Schizosaccharomyces pombe: one gene and its partners. The gene in region 2 interacts genetically with the main gene of each other region. Each region holds a gene or a part of one and is shown on either strand. Other genes may lie near its edges.

Evidence for each region. A genetic interaction does not mean that the proteins touch.
Region 1: mutations in vts1 (region 2) and mug89 together harm fitness more than expected from each alone (negative genetic interaction), as found in Schizosaccharomyces pombe (one large-scale study listed by BioGRID).
Region 3: of vts1 (region 2) and cnp20, a mutation in one rescues a mutant of the other (synthetic rescue), as found in Schizosaccharomyces pombe (one large-scale study listed by BioGRID).

What each region holds. Positions count from the first base shown.
Region 1 is NC_003423.3:303,415-308,398, reverse strand, and holds mug89 (phospholipid-translocating ATPase complex Lem3 family subunit), read left to right. Parts: upstream 1-1,701; 5' UTR 1,702-1,907; coding exon 1,908-3,098; 3' UTR 3,099-4,484; downstream 4,485-4,984. Other genes in the region: SPOM_SPBC1773.12 (transcription factor), read right to left, coding at 1-239; asparagine--tRNA (Asn) ligase Nrs1, read left to right, coding at 4,711-4,984.
Region 2 is NC_003423.3:3,041,044-3,048,072, forward strand, and holds vts1 (RNA hairpin-binding protein), read right to left. Parts: upstream 4,968-7,029; 5' UTR 4,724-4,967; coding exon 2,582-4,723; 3' UTR 2,361-2,581; coding exon of another isoform or gene 759-2,360; 3' UTR 597-758; downstream 1-596. Other genes in the region: zf-C3HC4 domain-containing and GCN5-like protein cwf24, read left to right, coding at 759-2,360; F1-ATPase delta subunit atp16, read left to right, coding at 5,809-6,312; gpi14 (pig-M family mannosyltransferase), read left to right, coding at 6,937-7,029.
Region 3 is NC_003423.3:277,953-281,747, forward strand, and holds cnp20 (centromere receptor protein cnp20), read left to right. Parts: upstream 1-1,530; 5' UTR 1,531-1,711; coding exon 1,712-3,151; 3' UTR 3,152-3,295; downstream 3,296-3,795. Other genes in the region: SPOM_SPBC800.12C (ubiquitin family protein), read right to left, coding at 295-536, 578-641, 699-806; csc3 (WD repeat-containing protein), read left to right, coding at 3,677-3,795.

The DNA of each region.
Region 1 (4,984 bases), 2.7 Mb from region 2:
ATCATTTCGGTGTACTCTCGAGTAATACCAGCTGTTGACTTCTTTACAGGCGGCTGCCCGACGACGATATGTGGGTCATCCTTGTCTACGTTTGGCTTCTTTACTCTTTTTCTTTTATTATACTTGCACGTTTCTGAGTACACTACACAATTCTGGCATTTTGGCAATTCGCCGTTACACCGAAGTTTTCTTTGCCTGCACAAGTCGCAAGCTGTGCTAATTTTTTTTATTGGTACCATTGTTTGCACATTTAAAAACTTCCAACAACACAGTCTTTTAGGCGTTTTTTTGGAATATTAAATTTTTTTGAAACTACTCGTACAGGGCACCTTGCAATATATACAATTTTGGAATTTTGTGCCATTGATAGTAAACAATGATTATCGCCGATCGATTTTTTCGCTTAATTTCGAGTATATTTCAATGACGCGAGCGCCATGATAATAAATGAACATTCCTTAAATGGGACAGATAACAAAATAATCAATCCAATTTATGGGTGAGAGAATTGTTCCTTACTGCTTGGTATCAATTTCAACCTGCCGTTCTTCATGTGATCTTACAAAAATCCATTAGTAACATAGCTTCATCATTATAAATACCATGGTAAACAGCCAAAAAATGATAATAAACAAGTCTAATCAAAAAGAATAAATGTGAATATTAATATAATGAATAGGATCAAAAGATAATGTTAGGATTTGGAGCTGAAAGCAATGGGAAGCAAAACTTTTGAATGCTACCAAATTATTCCGAACAACTACTTAAATGAAAAAATCTTTAACAATTGCTTGATATCAAACAACTTTCATTTTAGCTCGGAAATTCATTTTTAAAGGCATGAAATAAATATTGGAAGGAGCCATAATCATTCACATTTTTTGTACGTTAATTAATAACACTATGTTTCAATGTCCAGGCTTACTTATGTTAATTTAAATAAATGTGTTGAATCCCAGTTAATTGCCTAATGAGATTTCGACTTTGAGGCATTATTTACTACCATCCGAGGTTTTCAATCAGGTAGTTAAAAAAACATAAAACAAACATCAAAAGAGGTATATGATAATTAGAGTTACATATACTGTATCATTAGATACGTTGTCTCGAAAAAATGAGCTTAGTGTGGCACCAATCTTTTTTTCTTTTCTTGCAATTTACTAGACTCCACGCAGGTGGTCATTTTCAAATACTGTTTGTTTCTTTAGCTGGGCAATTTTTACCGGTAAAGTGCGCACATTTTCCTATCCAGCTCGTAAATATATTTCAAGCATTTTACTTCTCCTCTTTTGTTAACCACAGAGAATAGATAATTAATACACTTTCTTTTCTTATCTCTACAGAATCAAGTCGATCAGGTATACATTTTTACGACGAATCACTTTGAATATTATTTGTAGCAGAAAAACCATCGTCTATAAAATTTTGAAACTTCCTTTAATTGAACATCATAATTTTATAGTCCCGAAATATAACTACTATACATTAACCAACAAATGTTCTTCCCTATTTTTAAAGAAGGTATTTATAATAGCTCTTCCTTTTAAAGATGACTGCTTCACTGGCTTTGTATAGAATTTTTTTTTAAATTTGAATAGCGAAATGTACCATATTCGCAATGTCAATTATAGCACTATTAGGAATACGGAGTAATTATTTAACGCAATTTTGTATATGTACGTTGCAGATTATGTGTTTACTAAATGCCAAACGTAGAAAAATCCGTGGCTTTCAAATATCCTCTTTTTTAATCCATTATAGGCTGTTTTATTGCCTTTTGACCTATTTTAAAACAAAAAATCAATAATTTTCATCTAGAAACCACCAAAATATTACTTTTAAATTGTTTTTAATCACTTTAACGGGCTCGCTTTTAAAAAGCGATCAATTCAAGACCTTTGAGAATTATGCCGGAAGCATTAAATGAAAATGTTTCAGACACTGCATCAAATGGGCCTGTAGCAAAAACTAGAGCACCTCCTAATACTTCCTTTCGCCAACAAAGGATCAAGTCTTGGCAGCCATTGTTAACCCCTAAAATCGTGCTTCCACTTTTTTTTGTGTTAGGAATTATATTTGGTCCATTAGGAGGAGGATTACTTTATGCTAGCTCTATCGTACAAGAGCTAGTTGTTGATTATACGGATTGTGAGACTCTGGCTTCTTACGATGAATTCTCTGCCGTCCCTTCCAAAAAGTACACAGCTTCATTTGATCAATCAGGAACTATTGGATTTGACAAAGAATCAACCTACTGGAAACTGGAGAAAATTCTCGATAAAGATCTAGATATGGACGTTAACTACTGCATCATAAGATTCACAGTCCCATCTGTTTTAAAGGCGCCTATTTTCATATATTACCGTTTGACAAATTTTTTTCAAAATCATCGACGGTATGCTAAAAGTGTAGATGAAAAACAACTACAGGGAGTGGCTTTAACTGCTGACGAAGTTAAAGGAGGCAATTGTTTTCCTTTGGAAGTTAACGAAGATGACAAACCATATTATCCATGTGGTTTGATTGCAAATTCTCTTTTCAATGACACTTTTTCGTCACTGAGACTGCTGGATGATAATAGTGTTTACACTTTTTCTACCAAAAATATAGCTTGGGCTTCAGATAAAAGACGATTTTTGAAGACAAACTACAGTCCTGATGATGTTGCACCTCCTCCCAATTGGGTTTTGCGTTATCCTGATGGTTATACTGAATCAAACATGCCAGATTTGTCAACTATGGAAAATTTACAGGTTTGGATGCGTACAGCTGGTCTGCCTACTTTCAGTAAGTTGGCTATGCGGAACGATAACGACGATATTTTTCCAGGAACATACGAAATAAAAATTGGGTTGTTTTTTCCTGTTAAGAGCTTTGACGGTACCAAATCTCTGGTTCTTACGACGAGATCGGTGCTTGGAGGAAAGAATCCATTCCTTGGAATAGCTTACATTGTTGTCAGTGCTGTTTGTGTTGTGTTAGGTACCGTTTTTACATTAAGGCATTTTATCCGTCCAAGAAAGCTTGCCGATCATCGTTATTTAAATTGGGATTCTGAAGAAAATAATTTAGCACCCCATTTGAGTGATCGTCCTTAGGTTTGTCGCGATTGCCGACTATTTACAACTCTGGGTTGTAATTGCAAAATTAGTTTCCTCATAGTAGAAGGAGTTTTCTCTGTCTTCTTTTTTTTTCTACGCCTTCCGTTGTCTTTAGATTTCTTTTATTTATCAAAGGGTAGAACTATGTTGTTTTAGGTTTGATGATTACGATTGCTAATTCTGACATTCATATTACATCTTTTTGCTATACTCAATTTCATTAAAATATGACTTTTGAGGTATTTTGATGGACCCCTAATTTTCTTCATTACTGGCTTTTCAAAGGTAGTATGTGTTTTATATTTTGCTACTCAAATTAGTTTATTGTAACACACTAAATTTATCATTCAAAAGATCTTTGGAATGCCTTTACATGTACCATTCGTTTACATTTCATTCTTTTACGCTTTTCTCTTTAGTCTCATGAAACTGAGATACGGATTTTTTTTATCAATTAATAATTCGCATTATTAGCAGAATTTGTTACTGAAGTGTGCTAGCAGGTCATAACTGCTATTCTTTAGGATAAAATTGTTATGCGTGCTTACTTTGGAAACTCTATACCTGTTAATGATACTTTGGTTTAACATACTGATGAAAATATTACGCTGTTTGTAACAATCATAAATTTTTGCATTTTTCTTTTATACTAAACCGCTATTTGCTTTCCTCTGCTGCTCCATTTCTTGTCGTTCAAACCGTTTAAAGCCGTTGTTGACTATGACATTTGTATAATTAAAATTAAAAGCGTTGTAAAAAGGAAATGCTGGTGCGTAAAAGAATGCACTTGTGTATTGAAGTGTTGTGATTTGAGGACAGTCTACAATAGGTATGGCGATAAAAGTAAAGTAAATATCACTACTACCTGAATTTTGCAAGCTTATTGATATACGTGAATTGAACATTTATACCATGCCATACTGTATCATGTCAACAGGTCTAATTGGAATACTACGAAAAAAAATCATCTCTCGATATACAAAAGTCAGCACATGCTTGGCTGTATAGCGAGAACAAAAACAGAAAAAGACGATTTTGGTTATTCCTACAGACTATGCTAGCAATTAACTTATGGAGAAGTGTGTTCTTTAACCTTGCCCTACATGTAAAATATCCACTTGTAATTTAAAAAGATATTTCACAAAGTAAATTTTTCTTTTGACAATATTACAACCTTAGCTAATTTACTTTTTTTCTACCCATTGGATTTACTAATTTAAGAACGTGAGAAGCCATAAGTCAATATGGAATGAAGCAATATCTTATTGACAAGAAGTTTTCGTAGTTAACTTATTTGAGGAGTCTATTGAATACACACTGGGTTGACAATTAATTGCTCTATGTCAAATCGACTGGGGAATTAGCAATAACCATACTAATGTGATACAATGAAATGTAAATTTACAATTAAATAAAAGTACTTAATATTTCAAATATTAGCAACTAGCCGAAATTTTGGAATCATTAGCCAAAAAAAAAATTAACGCGCTTTAGCAAATGTTCTGGGTTGTAGATTTGCAGATAAGACACTCTAACGAGACTATAAGTTATCCAAGGCCGGTTATTTGATATTTAACATTTTCACTAACTTCAAACTGTCCTTTTAAAAATGGCGGGATTGGAATCAAAAGTTTCTGATATGAAAATAAAATCAGACGTTGTTTTTTATATAGACGAAGCTTCCGGTAATGATGAAACTGGCAACGGAAGTCAAACATCACCATTTAAAACTGCAATCCATGCTTTGGAAACTGATGCCAACTGTACGATCTTTGTCAAAAAAAATGGCAGTGAAGAGTTTGAGCCTATAACCACCAACGCTTTAAAGAAGGCGAAAAAGGGAGTTGAACAAGCCGCTAAGAAAAAGGCTAAGGCAGCTGAAG
Region 2 (7,029 bases):
CTCTTCATGTTAACAATTTCTAGTAAATGGCAATGCTCTATACGTTTAAATTGAAAATAACACCCCCATATCTCAGCCTTTTCTCATAATCTCCATAAAATAAAATAAAAATAAATATGAAAAAATCTCTAGATGTGTTTATGAAGTACCGCTAAGCAATAAATTAAAGGGAACGCTGTGCAAACACGTATTACATTGAAGGCTGTATATATATGTTTAGATTGAAAATATTAGTCATTACTATAGTAATTAAATTATTAAGACTGATTACTGTCACAAAAAGAGAACTATACATTCTTAATAGAACTCAACGTTTGTTTTGTGCCTCGTTATACTATATAATCTTAAAAAGTAAATATAAATACCTATATATTATTAAAAAATATATCTACCTGAATATTACTAAAGCCCAGATTCGGTGGCCACGTATTTAGCTTAGCAGCTTTCTAAAATTTATATATTTGCATTTCACTACAAACTTCTTCTATTTTTGTTGTTTTATTTTATTTATTTAAGGGGACACACGTTTCACAATTTTGAGCAAACAGCAAGCGCTAATATTGATTCTACTAGATATCAGAATTTTTGAAGCACTTGTTTGGGAACTGTTTTAGTGACTATTAATTGTTTAAACTATTATAGTGGTTCTATCTTGGAATTTAAATAGGGTCTCAATTAAAGAAGAATTGACGACGTTTCTATCTTGAATTTGATTTTTCAAGTGTCTTGGTCATTAAATTATCTTTGCCATACATCCAATGGAACAAAAAAATTTAAATATCAATCAGGCTTCAGGTTCAAAAATCAATACCGAATTAGCTGTTCCAATTTTTCAAAGCCGTCGGAGACATCGCCCCAGACAAGGACTGAAGCGTAAAAAAGGATTCAAACGAGATGATGACTCTGGAGGCAGCAGTGAATCATCAAATGAAGATATGCGGGACAATATTCCAATTGTTTCGGGAAGAAAAAAAACCGTTCGCTTAAATCGATTGCAAAGAGAATCCGAGCAATTCGAGAACTCTGCTTTGAAAGATATAAATGTTGAATATCAGTCAAATCTAAGCGCTACTGGTGAGTCCGTTAATACTACAACTGTTTCGGCTATCAACGAAGATACGAGAGAGGTCATTTTAGGTCGACCTTCTCCGAAGTTAGCTAATCAGTCTACTCTTCCTACTGAGTTATTCCAGTCACAAAACGATTACTCTAGATTTTTGCCTAAAAGGAAAGATTTTGAGAAAAAAAGCCAAGTAGGGCCAGTTTTATCTTCCAATGCTTCTACTGTCCGTATGAATACAATTATTGACTACCAACCCGATGTTTGTAAAGATTATAAGCTCACTGGGTATTGCGGTTATGGAGATACTTGTAAATTTTTGCATATGCGAGAGGATTACAAAGCTGGATGGCAACTTGATAGAGAATGGGATTCAGTCCAGGAAAAATACAAAAAAGGAGCTAAATTGGAAGAAGGGATGGTAAAAAATGAGAAAAAAGAGGATATACCTTTCGTCTGTTTAATTTGTAAAAAGGATTACCGAAGTCCTATTGCTACCACTTGTGGTCACCATTTTTGTGAACAGTGTGCCATAACTAGATATCGTAAAACACCGACATGCATCCAGTGTGGTGCAGATACTAAAGGTTTGTTTTCTGTTGACAAAAATTTTGATCGGCTTTTGAAAAATAGAAAATCAAAGAATGACGAGGCGGTCAAGCAAAAGGTTGGTGGTTTCGAAAGTAATAATTCCGCAACTACAGAAGTTTCGGAACGTAAAGATCGTGAAGCTTCATTTCAAGGGTTTGCAGATACGTTGGCAAAACCAAATACATCGGCTCAACAAAAAATGCCTAGTTTAGGTGATAATTCAAATACAATTATTTCAAAGTATTTTATAAGAGAGATTACTGAATCCAATATAGTCCATTTCAAACGCCTCGTTCGTGTCGTTTTAGAGGCTTCTTATAGTGACAAATTCTACCGCCTAGTTCTCAAAAATCCAGATTACGCCCGCATTGCAACATTCGAAGACAAATTCGTTGGAGCCATTAGCAGCCTTGTTGCAGAAGATAATTCACTTTACGTAACAGTCTTATGTGTTCTTGCCCCTTACAGATGTCTGGGAATTGGAAGCTTATTAATTGATCACGTCAAAAAAACTGCCATAAACAATAATATAGACAGAATTTCTCTTCATGTACAAACAACAAACGAATCAGTTATTAAATGGTATACTGCTCATGGATTTAAGATTGTTAAGCAAATCAATGATTTTTACCGAAGGCTAGAAAACAAATCAGCTTTTTATATGGTGTGCCCGTTAAGTGCTCATAATAATATAATTTCAAATCACTAAAATTCACTTATATGTTTATATTACAAAAGCGATGTCAAAGACAGTTTGTAAAATTGGTTTAAGCTTTTAATATTTGATTAGTCCACCTTTTGGCTTAAAATAAACAACAGAAATCCTCAAGCAATGAAAAAAGTATTGTCAAATATAGCGTAAAGATAAGTGTCACTAGATGTGAAACAAAAATATCTAGTTCAGTGTCATTAGTTAATGATAAAAAACTCTCAGTCCATTGATGAACTAGAAACATCCTGTTTAGTTGAATTCGAGCTTATTTCGTTAGACATGCTCCCACTTGGAAGATCCTCCGAGTCAGTATGACCTTTGAAGCTCGTTAAAGACTCCGAACTTTGGTTTTTCGCCGCTTTTAAATTTTCATTCATTTTTTTTGAAGATACTAGCGGTGCAACTTCCTGAAAACTTTTCAACAGTTTACGACGAGCACCCAGTGCCATGATGCCTCGATTTTGCAAATCGAGATCACTTAACGAAACCAAAGCATCCCAATCCGTATCCTTTAAATTATTGGTATACTTGTGTAGGCGCAAACTTCTGAGCCAGCTCGGAATATCTTGCGGAAGCTCATTACCAACATGCTTGTCTGTGTTTTTAGAATGTGAAATCGATTTTCTGGTTTTATTAGATCCCCGTGAGCTTCTACGGTATGTTTGGTTCTTTGAATTATTGGGTGGAGTCTCTATTTTTTCAACTGAACTAAACGGTTGATAAGTGTAAGGAAGGGTGCAAAGGTGCATTCCTACGGGTGTCGAGATATTAGAATTAGGATCTATAGGATTCGTTAAAATCGTATTGGTAGCATGCATCTGTTGAGGTAAACCAGAACCAATTTCGTAATGATAGGGCTGAAAGGGAGGAGTTGAATTGAAATTGTTCAAGCAAAAACCACTTCGTCTCCTATCAATTTCAGAACCATGAATCAACGAGGGTAATGTAACCGGAGTAGTCGAATGTGGAAGTTCGTTGAAATAATGTTGACGATTCAACGGCGTCGATGGTTGCCCAGTTGATTTCTCAACACGAGCATTGACTACAGAATTTAGGTCATTAGCAGAAGGTACGTGCTCAAAACGAAGGGAAGATGATAAAAACGGTTTACCTTCTGTAATGCTAGATCTTCCTTCAGTTCGAGTTCGAGGTCCGATTTGGTTATTACGGTAAAACAGATAAGGCTTATCGCCTAAAGGGCGAGACTTTGGAGAATGGTTTAATAATTCAGGAGGAGGTGGTGGTGGAGGCGGAGAATAAGATATATTACTCCATCTCGAACGAGAAGACTCATCATTCAAATGTGGTGAAAATCCAAGTGGAAAAAAAGGAGCAGGAGGAGCTGAAAAAGCTCCTCTATCACGAGAATCCCAAATATTATTATGAGGAGTTTCAAAAAAAGATGTATTAGGTTTTGATGGTGTTGAATTTGACGGTAAAGACTTTTTAGATGCAGCTATTAAAAGATCAGTGGTCTTGGATGTTTTGCCGGTGGAATTGCTGGTTAAAGAAGATGTTACATTAGCATTAATTGAAGTCCCATTATTAGAAGGGGTAGGAGTATTCCGAGGACTCGTAGAAGCAGAAGAGGCAGGCGGCTCAATGGAGGAAAATGCTAAAGCCTTAGAAAGGCAATTTTTGGAAGATGCCTCACGATCCTGCGTGAGGTAAGTAGATGATACTGAAGATGTACGAACAGGAATTGGCGAAGCCGTAGAAAGAGCGTTAGAAAAGCCATGCTTTGAAGAAAATGCAGGTCCCTGGGTGGACGCGGGAGTCACCATGTTCAAATTTCCAGACAAGTTGGATTTTGTGGTCAATGAAGGAAGTGAACTTGAAAGGGAAGGTGAGTCACCTTTAGGGGACGAAGGGAGAGATTTGTCTAAAGATAAGCCAGAGTTTGAAGGAGAGGACGTAAGGCTAGACGACAGAAGTGTAGATATTTCTTGAGAAGGAAGGTGATGCAAAAGAGTCCGTAAGGTCGTCAGTCGATCTTGGAGACTTAAGGATTGAAACCAGCTTTCAAGAGTTTTCAGACGAGTCAAAAAGGATATACCAGGCTTATCAGCTCCTAAATACTCATCGAAATGTTCCGATATTGAATCTTCATTCTCTTCGGATAGAAGCTTACCGGCAACTTCTTGAGCATTTTTTAAGGTTTCGTTAGTAGACATTTCTCCAGTCGACAGATTAGAAGTGTTTAATTCTTGCTTCAATTTATCTATGGTCCTACTATTTAAAAATCGCGTAGGATAGTTTTTACCATCTACCAACGAGACAGCTATAGTTTGTTTTTGACGTGAAGATGGAGAATCAACAACGTCAAGGCACGTCTTCCGTCTTCCTTCAACCACTTCCATCTAAATCAGGCAGTATAGATTTTGAAATGAAAAATGGTCGATAAAAGAAGATAAAAGTTGAAAAAGTAGTTGATCCTAATGAACCTAAGTTCCCCCTCTAAACTAACTCCTTATAATCAAATCTGCCTCGCTGAATCTTCAAATTGATGAGTAAAAACAAATGATAAAAGGAGATCCCTAGGAATTTAAAAACGACCAGCGTCGAAGCAGGGATCTTTGTTTTGAAAAATGACTACTAGTTGGTGGAAGGAGGAAAGACGGATAAATGTTAGTTCGGGGTCCGCTATATTTAGCGATATGCAAGCCAGTATGCCAAAAAAATAGTTGATTTTACACTTGTTTGCAGAAAATGTTAGTTCTTTCAGATATTCTTGTTTACTGAATTGCATAAAATATACTATGTTTACTCAGACATCTAAATTGGTCTTCTCTTATTTTCTTACTCACGATTACCACTTCAGCAAATGGCTTCGTAATGAATCTACACGTGCAGATGCTATGTTTGCTTTGTAATTCGTTGTCCAATAAACTGAAACATGTTTATATTTGCTTTATATTTACAAAATCAGGTAAATGTTGTAAACTGTATCTACATGTCTATATATTCAAATCAAAAGATTATTACCAAGTAACTTAGCCATTGTACAAAGCATTCAATAAATAAATATATCCGGAAGATTCAACTTGGTGATTTTTTCGCGGATTTACATTGTAGTATATAAACAACTTGTTATTTAATAATACAAAGAATGACTTACTTTTGAGGAAAAGAAGAAGCCTATTTTTCTAATGTAATCATTCATCTTTATGGAATTAAGAAAGTTATCCACTTTCCTGTACTTTACGAGTTGCTTTAAAATTCATGAACTTAAACTGTTGGCACATCACTTAATCATTTATTGTACAACTTGAAGAATTTTTTTACTTTTAAAAAAGTATAGAATATATTTGTTAATCGTAATTTCTTTAAAATACTACTCGTAGAACTATTTGACAGCATTCACTTTTCCGCATAGTTATTCCCACAGTCAGCGAAGCAGCATCACACCCCCCTTAACCCACTCAATACTCCGAACAACAACATTATGTTTCGTTTATCAAATTACATGCTGAGAAAATCACAATTTCCTCAAGGTTTAGTACGTGCTCCTTTTGGAATTCGTGGTTATGCCCAAGCTGTTCAGAAAAATGAAAAATTAGTACTTTCCATGGCATTGCCATACCAAACCATCTATGAGAAGGTTCCTGTAACTCAGGTCGACATCCCTGCGGAAGATGGCGAGATGGGTATCCTTAAAGATCATGTTCCCATGATTCAGTGTCTTAAGCCAGGAGTTATTTCTGTTACTGATGAATCCAGCAACAAATCAAAATATTTCATTTCTGGAGGATTTGCGGTACAACAGCCTTCTAATGAACTTTCTATCACCGTTCCTGAAGCTTATAAACTTGAAGACTTTTCTTCTTCTGTCGCAAATCAACTTCTTGAAAAGCACAAAGCTGAGATGAATTCTTCTGATGAGGGGGTTGCTGCCGAGGCGGCGGTTCGAGTCAGTGTTTTGGAATCCCTCGTTCGCGCTTTAAAATAAGCTAGCAATATTTCTAGTTGGCTGCTGATTTTACAGTTGTGTACATGAAAGTAAACAGGTTATGTTGTGATTCCTTCATAGTGTACACTCTTTTTCGAAAGAACGAAGTTTATAAGTTTGGGGATTTATTACTAGTGTCTTTTCTCAACTGATATCAATAGGTTTTGTTCCAACATATGTTTTTAGCTTCAATCCCAATCCCATCTCTGATTACGAATACATTTAACAGCAAATACAATTATTTTTTTTTCGATGGAAATTATGTTTTTCAATTATACTCAATGATTACATATTGTGTAATGTATTTTACCAGTAGATTTAAAGCGGTGTTTTTCATGCACCGATTGCAAAGTTTTGTCATAGTCATTAGCAATTTTGGCGACTACATGTGAATACAAAAATCTCTATCACAATTTATTTTACAATAAAAGAAGCTGAAAACCCTTAAAAGCCGAAAATTGTTATCTCAATCCAATAACGACTCAAAATTGCATTAACTCTGCTATTGACTTTATTTACTACCCACGCCGTAGCGCACTTTATTTAGTACCAAACATATTGCATGCATGTTGACTTTCCGTATGCTTTTAGTGCATAAAATTCGAAAATCATCAATCACATATAATGATTACATTCCTTGAAGTATTTGTTTACTTCTATTTCTTCCCGCTGTTAGTCTTCATCACATTGCAGTATCCACGATGGACGTTTAATAAA
Region 3 (3,795 bases), 2.8 Mb from region 2:
AAAATGTCTGTTACATTATTTACTGACTATGCTCTTTCGATTTTTGTTTTAAATTAGATTTTACTTGCCGGCGTCTTGCATAAAAAGGGAAACATAAAAATCCCAGATATGCAAAACTGAGAAAGTATAGAGCGAATTACACAAAGAAAAGCTGTAATAGTTATAACTATAACTTTCATAATAAGTATGTAATGACACACTTCATTTTTTATAAGTGTCTGACGTCGAATACTTTCCTAATCAAAAAATAGGAGAAAAACTAATATAGGTAAATACCAACATGAAACAAGTCATTTAAGAAATATTCATTAGAAACATTTGAAGATTAACTTCAGAGACACTGTCGGCATCCACATAGTCATCTAGAAGTCTGGAGTTGACAAGAGGTTTGCCTTTGTACATCAAACGGATAGAGGAAGGTTGCGTAGATAACTGAGATGCTAAAACTTCTTTAAGCTCCAAAATTGTAGACTGTACATTTATTTCAGTAGATGCTTGTTGAATGGGAGGTCGGACAGTTTTCGCAACAACATGAACTAGATTTTTAGTTAAAAGTAGTTATTTAAGCAGAATTTACCTTTCTTTTCCTCGAACAAAGCTAAATTTCCTTGAAACTCGACCAGTGGAGCAGGAATAGTGATCTATAAAACTATTAGTTTCAATAGCATATTTGTGAAACAAGAATCATTATTACGCACCGAAATAGCAGTTTCATCTATTTTTTCAATTGGAATACTATCAGGGTGATTCCTAGGGGTCTTTGAAAGCTCTTCTAGAAACGATTTAACAATTTGTACCTCGCTCATGGTGATGGTGGAATGTCAAGTTTACTCAAGCTAATTATCAAGTGTCCTAAAACCACTAAAGAGAAAATCTCGAAACAAATATCATACAAAATGCCATTAGTTCCAACTTTGACAAACAACACATCAAATCTGACGTTCAGTTTTTGATAATTATGTTACAATGCTGCTAACCGACAAATTTAAGAGTCCAAATCCTTGATGTAATAGCGCTCAAGTTCAACATAAAGTATTCTATAACTTCGTCTATTTCATGCCTTAAGCTTTACAACCTCGCGAACGTAGTTTACTCAGAATTGTCAAAAAGAATAATAATTATGATTTTAAAAATTTACTGTTAAATAAATTATTAAAGTCATAAGAAATCTTTGCATTGTTAATAAAGTTGCTGTTGCAAATACTATCCATACAAGTTTCTGAAAGTTAAGAGTTTAGTAGTTTTTAAATATTGTTTCCCTAAATGTTTTGCTTATCATTATAGCAAACAATAAAGCTAAATAGTTTAATTGTTCATTTCATGCTTTCATCTTATTTCATAGGCACATAAAGTATCTTTGCGTTTTACTTCGATTTTTTAAAAGAGGTTGTATTCCTTCATGTTTTTAGATAAGATTGCTATGGAGCAGTTTTAGAAAAGATGCGTATATAAAGACAGACAGATTAGAACTTAAGCAAGTAAAGTGTGAAGTAGTTGTATACTAATTAGAAAGATGATATAACCAACCTTACTAGAGCCATAATCTTTAATCAGCCCTGAAATCGTCTTGTTCGAATCATTTGTTTTTTAAAAGGATTGATTATTATTGTTTATTTCTCCTTAATATTTATCAAAAACTCCAAATCGCTGTATAGGTAGCATGGTATACATATATTCACTCAACCTACATTTCTAATCAATCACGCTTACAATGGCTTCTCACAATTATGAGACGCCACTCAAGAGCTCTTCCTTTCAACATTTAGTTGGTACACTTTCTCAGCGACGGCATTTTACCCCCTCTAGAAGCAGGTATACTCCACGTTCTGCTCAACGGACTGTTACTCCTCATAAACGGAGAGCTCTTGCACGCAGGAATAGTCTAGCAAGGAGAAGGAGCAATGTGTTTTCCGCAACAACTCCTAGAGACATTCTCAGAATGCTCAGTCGTGCGCTGGCAAAAAATCCAGTACCATCACCAGCTGAATCAGAATCCTCCGAGCGACGACATACTCCACAAACTAATAGTCAAAAGTCTCAAAAGACACCAAGATTGTCTTCGAATAAGCGTCGGACTTTAAAAAATGATGCTAAACAAAGGAATTCCCAATCTCCAGGTACCGACACTAGCGATGCAAATCTGACGATACAATCCATCGAAGCTCCAAGGCGTGCTCCACAGCGCCTTAGCGACTTTTTTACACCAGATGGAAGGCGTGTCAGTAATATTCGTGATTCTCTAATCTCAGAAAAACGATTAGAAAATAATATTGACCAAGTTCAAGAAAGCGCGTTAAGTACCGCTTCTAGTAATCGACTCATAGATTTAAAAAATGACGAAGTTCCTATTTTTCGCATTCCTTTAAGTGATTATGAAACAGATGACATGGATGACGGTACACCTCTCCAACGCCATGTTGCGACCCTGAACCAATATCAAAGTCCCATTTTTAATTTAGGCCCGGACATTTTAGAAGATGAACCATCTTACTCTTCAAGAGCTTCCAGATCCCGTCAATCATCTCTCTCTTCTCGATTATCTGAGTTACCTTCTAAACGCGCCAGCCTTGAGATTTTAAGGCGCGAAAATACTTTCCCAGCCGATCCAATTCAGGAATTTGGTGAAAAAGCATACAATGAAAGAGAATTGATGGAAGAAATCTCAAATTTTGAACCCTTACTAGATGATAACTTGCTTGAAAATGCCAACGAAGCTGTCAATTCCCCAGTAGTAGACGCACCAATGGATGCTGATTCTGCTTTAGAAATACCCAATGATGAAGATAATGGGGAAATTCTAAATAAACTAAAAGATTCTCCGTTTAAAAAACCTAAAAGAAGATATTCCAAATCTTCAACACTTGTGCTACCGGAAACAAATATTAGGAAGTTGGCTAATTCCTATTCACAGAAAAAAATTGCTGGATCAGTGATTGAAGAACTAACTACAGCTTCTGAACTCTTTTTCAAACAGATCGCGAATGACCTTTCGGCTTTTGCAGACCATGCTCATCGGAAAACAATTGACACGCAGGACGTGGTTTTACTTATGAAAAGACAAAGGAAAATAAGTGAGAAAAAATCCCTATCCTCTCTAATGCAGCAATATTTATCGCGTGAAATTGCACCTCCGGCAATTAAGAGAACCTAATGCGTACTTCTCCTTTACATTCATCCCTGTATATTAGAATTTTTTTCATCGTTTTACCTCTTTGGATGTTAAGATTTTTTATTAATAGTTAATTTAATGATTATTTATATTTATTGCTATTTTTATATTATTAATTAATTGTAAGGCACGTCTAGAAAATTTGTTTTCTTAGGAAATAGAATTATTTTCAAAATTTGCAACCTATGCAAGAACGCTTGATTCGATACACTTACAAGTTTGTTTAACAGCTTTTGATTATTTGTAATTTAGCCAACATTTATTTTCGTCCATTAGTTAAAATTACATGATCAAGTAAATAAATTTCATTATCTGCTAACTGCAAGAAACATTTATTTTTATAATTTTTTTTAGTATTTGAAAGATGAGTTTGCAGGGAACATCCGTAGTAGTGCTAATTACTCTCAGGTGTGTTATGTTGAATCTCTCATAAGCCATCAACGACTTTCATTCACGAGTGTCCTAAAGGTTTTTATATACCCGGGATTTTGTCGAAATAAAGCATTTATGAAATCCAACCTATCATTAAAACGGCAAGATGAAAAACGTGCCGACAAAGAGCCCAATTTGTACACATTGCAAGGTGTAATTCAATATTTACAGTACGAGGCTTTCAAGAATGAAAG